Canis lupus familiaris: one gene and its partner. The protein of the gene in region 2 interacts with the protein of the main gene of each other region in a pairwise test. Links are inferred from orthologs where the notes say so. Each region holds a gene or a part of one and is shown on either strand. Other genes may lie near its edges.

Region 1 (3,746 bases), on a different chromosome or scaffold from region 2:
ATGGTCACGTTGTTACCTTTTATACTAAGAGGCCAAAAGTGTAACTGATGGTTTCAGGGGAAAAGCTGGTTTTAGGCAATGCCATGGAGGTAAGATTCCTGCCCCGCTGGTGACTTACAAACTCAAGTAAATGCAAGCCTCCTCCTGAGTTTTAACCGACTATCCTGTGGTCACAGATGTGCCTGCCGACTATAGTAGCTGCAATAAAAACAGCGAGACACTGTGGAAGGATGTTTTCCCCAGTGAATGACAAAGGCCAGACCAAATACAACCGAAGTGGTCACTGTGGGGTGACATCTCAGTCTACCCGTCTGTGCTTTCTGGTCAATCATTTAAACCCTTGAACCTGTGTCCTCCTTAAAAAAAAAAAACCAACGTAAAAGCATTCAGCTAACTGCACAGAACGGTTGGCAGTAGTAGCTGTGGAGCATTTTACCCAAACCCAACTCAGGTGAACGAGAGTGTAGTAAAGGGGAAGAAATTTCCACATATTTTAAAGCTCTGGTGCATTCTGCTAAAAGCTATGGAGACCAACAGCAGCGCAGGGTAACACAGGCACTGCTGAGTTAGTGCAGGGATAGTGTGGTCGGCCCAGAAGCCCTTGCCCCAGGGCAACTCCGGGCACCCCTCCAGACAGGTCACGCGTCATGTCAACATTCCGTAGTTATCAGAAGGGGCCAGGGCTGGGGCCCCACAGCAGGGGGTGAGGAGCGGGGGAACCCCCTGTGAAAACAGGGAGGGCCCCCAGGGACTGAGCGGGGAGGACCCCCAGGGAGAGCGTAGGGAGGACTCCCGAGGACGGGGCTGGGAGGATCTTGGGTACAGAGGAGGGAGGACCCCCGAGGACGGAGCGGGGAGGACCCCCCCGAGGACGGGGCTGGGAGGACCCCGGGTACAGAGGAGGGAGGACCCCCGGGACACAGTGGGGAGGACCCCGGGGACGGAGCGGGGAGGAGCCCCCCGAGGACGGAGCGGGGAGGACCCCGGGTACAGAGGAGGGAGGACCCCCGGGACACAGTGGGCAGGACCCCGGGGACGGAGCGGGGAGGACCCCCCCCGAGGACGGAGCGGGGAGGACCCCGGGTACAGAGGAGGGAGGACCCCCGGGACACAGTGGGTAGGACCCCGGGGACGGAGCGGGGACCGGGCCGCAGGACACGATGCCCACGCGCGCCTCAGCCTCCCGGGCCGGGCACCTCCAAAGCGCCAAGCCCGCGGGGACGCCGCGCGGGGGGAGCGGGGCGGGCAGGGAGCTGCGCGGGAGGCGGCGGCGAGCAGGGCGGGGGCGGGGGGGGGCGGGGGAGGGGCGAGGCTCCGTGCCGCCCCCTCCCCTGCCCGCCCCTGCCCGCCCCAGCCCCGCACCGGAGCGCGAGCCGCCGAGGCCGGGCCGTCGGGGGAGGCGCCAGGCGGTCGCCGCGCGGGCCCGGCGGAGCAGGAAGGGCGGCGGAGCAGGCGGGCGGCCGCGGCTCGGGCTGCGCGGAGGTAGGGCGACCCGGCGGCGGCGGCGGTCCGCAGGGGGCGCGGCGCTGGGAGCGGGCGGGCCCCGGTGCCCCCTCCCCCGGCCCGGGGCGCGGCGACCGCGGACGAGCCGCCCCCGCCCCCGCCCGGGCCCGGGGCCCGGGCGGGGGCCGGGGCCGAGGCCGAGGCCGGGGCCGAGGCGTCGCCGCGCGTGCGCAAAGCCGCGGGCGGGGGCGGGGCGCGGGCTCTGAGCCCCTCCCCCGGCCGCGGGCCCGGCGGCGCTGCGCGTGCGCGGAAGGTGCGCGGGCCTCGGGGCGCAGCGGCCGCGGGGCCCGGGGCTCGTCCTGGCTGCGGCGGTGGCGCGGGCCTCGGGTGTCACCTGCCCCGCCCCCGGCCTGCGCCCGCGTGGGGCACCTCCCGCGTTGGTCTCTGCCTCCGCGGCGTGGGCGCCCGGAAAGCCTTTCCCGCAGCCCCGGGTCCCGACCCCGCCCCCCCGACCCGGGTCCGCAGAGGAGGGACGGCCCCGCTCGCCGGGCGGGGCGGGGCGGGGCGGGGCGGAGCTGCCGAGCCGGTGCGAGGAGGCGCCCCGAGCCGCGTCCGAAGCCGGAAGGTCCTGCCCTGCTCGGCCCCGGAAACCGGAGGCTTCCAGACGCTGCAAACTTTGCAAGCGCGCCGCGCGGCCGCAGCTGGAAGGCGAGTTCGCCGCGGACTTGTTGTTTCCGTGCTCGGGGGAGTCGCACCCCGGGTCGGAGCGGAGCGCGGCCGGGACAGTCCCGGGGCCGCCGGGGCCGCTCGGCGCGCGGTGCAGGCGGCAGGGGTCGCGCGCGGCCGGGGGGCGACGCGCCTCGCGGGCCCCCATCCCACCGCCCCTGTGCACGGCTCTCCGTGCTCCCGCCTTTGCATCTACCCAGACCCGGCCCGGTTTTAGGAGCCTCTGGGCTTTGCACCTTCCCGGCCCCGGCCCGGTTCTAGGAGCCTCCGGGCTTTGCACCTTCCCGGACCCGGCCCGGTTCTAGGAGCCTCCGGGCTTTGCACCTCCCAGGACCCGGCCCGGTTCTAGGAGCCTCCGGGCTTTGCACCTCCCAGGACCCGGCCCGAGCCTGGCCTCGCCCCCGGCCTCGCCCCCTTCTGCTCCTTGGGCTAGTTTGGTGACTCCTGAGGCTGCTTGGAGCAGTTTTTGACCACGTCACTACGGTGCCTGGTCCTCTTACACGATGTGCTGATGCAGGCATTTGGGGGCTGGAGTACTCCAGGTGAGAGGTAATCTGTTGCCCGGGGCATTATTAGGCCGTGTGAGTGGATACATCAATGGATCCATACCTACAGGTTACTGAGTAGCAGGTAAAGGCAAATATGTATCCTACATTCTTGCTTACCCCAGTTCCACCAGGCCGGCCTCCTTGGGCTTACTGGGCTTATTACCACGTGGGCCTCCACCCTAGGGCGAGGCATTTGCTATTTTTTTTTCCATGCTCAAAGCCCATTTCCCCCCTCCACCCAAATATGTATGGCACCTGTCTTAATTCAAGGCTCAGAACAATTGCCATCACTTCAGAAAGGTGACTCAGTCATTTAAAACAGCCACTGCTCTCCTTCCGACCTCTTGCCCTGTTTGTTCCCTTTGGCTTTATAGCACTCGTCACTGTCCAATGGTATGTATTCGTGCGTGTAGGCTCTGTCTCCCCCATATTCAGAGCACAGGAGACATTTGTTAACTGCATAAATGAAGGTGAAATCTGACCGCAGATACAGTTTGTACTGAATTCTCATTGTGGATCCATTCATTCATTCAATAAATACTGAGTGACTGCTTTGCATCAGGTCCTGTCCAGGTATTTAAGATCTGTCAGTGAGGGCAGCCTGGGTGGCTCAGTGGTTTAGTGCTGCCTTCAGCCCAGGGCCTGATCCTGGAGACCAGGGATCAAGTCCCATGTCAGGCTCCCTGCATGGGGCCTGCTTCTTTCTCTCTCTGCCTCTCTCTCTCCCTCTCTCTGTGTTTCCCTCATGAATAAATAAAATCTTTAAAAATAAAAAAAAGATATGTCAGTGAACAAGAGAAACAAAGATCCCTTCCCTTTGGAGCTTACATTCTAGAAAAGAATGATTGACAGTAAACGTATGTGGTTACTTATCATTTAGAAAATTATAAGTGCTATGAAAAATGAAAAAGATGAGCAAAAAAAAAAAAGAGGCCTGAGGGTACAGGTGTGGGTTGCAATTTTATACAGCATGGTTATGGTGGATGTGAAGGATAAACTGAAGGCGATGGTCAAGACGGAGAACTAGTT
Region 2 (3,226 bases):
AAACAACCCAATTAAAAAGTTGGCAAAGGACTTGAATAGACATTTCTCCAAAGATATACAGATGGCCAATGAGCATTTGAAAAGATCATTTAGTCATTAAGGAAATGTAAATTGTGACCAAATGATGGATGGACAGAAGGAAGGAGAGAAGGAAGGAAGGAGGATGAATGGATGGGAGAGACAGAGGGAGGGGAGGATAAAGAAGGTTTGGAGAGGATACAAATTGAAACCTGTGTATGTGGCTGGTGGGAATGAAAAGTGATAGCCTCTGTAGAAAACAGTTTGGCAGTTCCTTAAAAAGTCAAACTGAATTATCAAATGACTCAGCAACTCTATTCCTAGGTATATTCTCCAAACAATTGAGAATAGGGACTCATATACTTCCGCACACATGTTCATACCAGCATTATTAACATTTAGCCAAAACATGGCAACAACACAAATGTCCACTGAGGGAGGAATGGATAAACAAACTGTAGTTTATATGTACAATGAAAATTTTTCAGCCATAAAAAGGAATGAAGTATTGCTACATGCTGAAATGTAGATGAACCTTAAAAACATGCTAAGTTAAAGGAGCCAGACAGACACAAAAGGTCATACAGTGTATGAATTCGTTTTATGTGGCATATCCAGAATAGGGAGACCCAGAGAAGTAGAACGCGGATCGGTGGTAGCCAGGGGCTGGAGGCTGGAAGAAGTGGGATGGGAAGCAGCCCTGTAATGGGTGTGGGGTTTCGTTGGTGTGATGAACATGTCTTGGATCTAGATAACCAGATAGACGTGGTGGTTACATAATACTGTGAACGTACTAAATGCCACTGAATTGCTCACTCGAAAATGGTTAATTTTGTTATGTGAATTTTATCTCATAAAAAAAAAAAACAATCACAGAAAAATAAGTTCAGAGCAGCCCTTCCATGGAGACACCATCTACATGGACACCGATCTGAAATAGATATGTCACATATCCTTGAGTCTGAGATTTTGGGTACAGGAATAAAGTGCAGTAGATAAGATTTTCTCCTCCCTCACATCTGCTATGGACCGTTTGGATCTATTTTTCCACAGAATACACCCAACAGATATTTTAACAGATATAATTTCTTCATTTTTCTTGGGGGATGGGGAGGGGAACTGGTTTTAAAAACATAATGCAAAGGCCCAACTGAAAAACAAATATATCAAATTTTGAAATTACTGCTATTTTATTCTTTTTTTTTTCATATTTACTGACGATAAGGAACTAAAACCACCCTCCAAGTAAAATTATTAGCTACTCAAGGGAGCATACCAACAGATCATAATAGCTATTTTTCACAGTTGCTTGAAAGTATGTCAGAACGTTTGAATGTAATTTTAATTAAACAAATTTGCAATTAGGAGTACAATCTTGCCATTTTCCTATTACAGCATGAGCTAGAAGAACAAAAATCCTCCTAGTAGTACCATAAGCAGGAAACCTAAGTACAAGTATTATTTAAAACAATTAAACAGTGTAATTACGATGTAGAAATGTATTCATATGTTACAGGATCCAATTTCAATCTCCACCTGGTCCAGCCATTGGCCAAATAAAGCTGCTGGGGGGGGGGGGGGGGGGGGGGGGGGGGGGGGGGGGGCGGGGGCACGGCCAGGGCAGGCAGGACACAAGACATTAGAAGAGTTAAAGGCAGGAAGGAAGGATGTCCCAGAAAAGGACATGAGGATATGGAGGGGCTCCTGGCTAAAATCTCTAAAACACATATGTTTTCTGAGAAGCACTTGAAACAGCTCTGCTCTGAAGGTTGGAGGGACCTTGAATCTTGGTTTTTCTATTAACCATTAGGATTTTTCCATCTTGAATATCTGTATGGATCTCCTTTACTTCACTATGCTAAGAATAGCTTCTTCAGACTAGTCTTCCCAAGAATTTGATCTGTTTAATATTGCCAGATATATTTCTGTATCAGATGTAATATCAGATTATTTGGGGTTCATATTTAAATAGATTTTTTTTTGGCAGTAGGAATCCTGAAACGAAGAAATTCAATGTACAGGTATTCCTTGATTCACTCTAGGTTAAAAAAATTAACGTTCTAAATATAATCAAAATCAACTCCTCTCTGTTTTCCTTTTGAGACGTTCCTCACACCTCCTTTTCCTAGCTTTCCTTCCCTCATTTTGGGGAGGCTGTTTCTGCCTTGAGAGGTGAGAGGAGGTCAAGTCTAATTTCAGGAGCTGTGGGTGCTTTGTATTGTGTTGCACTTCTCTTCCCCAGAGGTGGCTTCAGCCTTTGGGGTGGGCGGTTCCACCCAGCAGGTAACCAGGCTGCCTGGCCTTACAAAACCAAAGGAAAGTATACACAATCTTACTTAAAGAGACTTCTTTCCCCAAATGCCATTTTAAGAAATGCTGATCCAAGTATTGTCCAAATTCCAAATTCCATTCATATTTTCTGGTCTGAATTGCCATGCCCTATCCTTTAAGTTAAACAGGCTGGCTATCCCCTATGAAGCGAATTTTTTTTTTAATAATAAATTTATTTTTTATTGGTGTTCACTTTGCCAACATACAGAATAACACCCAGTGCTCATCCCCTCAAGTGCCCCCTTCAGTGCCCGTCACCCAGTCACCCCCACCCCCCGCCCTCCTCCCCTTCCACCAGACAGAACATAGAGACTCCTAACTCTGGGAAACGAACTATGAAGCAAATTTAATGATGCTGGTCTTAGGTGGGCCACCCCAGCGCTGGGGACTAAGCTCTAACCATCATTCCTGCGTAACTCCTGTTTCTCAGAGGAGGCTAATGGAGATGCTTCACCTGCCCTATCCATCCTTTAAAAGAGCTACAGGGGAAGGGGATGTACAAACGGGTAAGTGGCTGAAAAGTGAAACTTCCCCCACAACATTATTCCAAATGAAAATTACCAAACACACAGGCACAAGGAGGCAGGTCTAGGGGCCAGAGTTTGGACATGTTGTTTGCTGCATCGCACGTCAACCCTCTGTGTTTATCCACTAAGTCAGGTATTCTCTAATTGACATTTGTGGAATAAATATTCGTGAAGGCACAACAGGGGGGAAACGAGAAGAAATGTGATTAACCAAAGTATTTCTAACTTTGAACTTACTACTAGAGGCTTCTTACTGGCCAAATCCGTGTGGTCTTGGCAGGTCACATGACTGCACGCTCTAATCTCGCTCCTGCCAGTCGAGCCTTCCATGGCTTTCATCCCCCCACCTC

What was found. The genes of interacting proteins can lie anywhere in the genome.
Region 1: the proteins of FARS2 (region 2) and RCBTB2 interact in binary tests that used the Homo sapiens proteins (3 or more experiments, as listed by UniProt). The two-hybrid records come from large-scale screens. The link is inferred for Canis lupus familiaris from reciprocal best matches to the Homo sapiens genes FARS2 and RCBTB2.

What each region holds. Positions count from the first base shown.
Region 1 is NC_049243.1:2,982,629-2,986,374, forward strand, and holds the start of RCBTB2 (RCC1 and BTB domain-containing protein 2), read left to right. Parts: upstream 1-1,380; 5' UTR 1,381-1,482; intron 1,483-2,007; exon of another isoform or gene 2,008-2,151; intron 2,152-2,416; exon of another isoform or gene 2,417-2,711; intron 2,712-2,750; exon of another isoform or gene 2,751-2,799; intron 2,800-3,746.
Region 2 is NC_049256.1:7,060,162-7,063,387, reverse strand, and holds the end of FARS2 (phenylalanine--tRNA ligase, mitochondrial), read right to left. Parts: intron 766-3,226; coding exon 555-765; 3' UTR 540-554; downstream 1-539. UniProt on the Homo sapiens protein: Is responsible for the charging of tRNA(Phe) with phenylalanine in mitochondrial translation.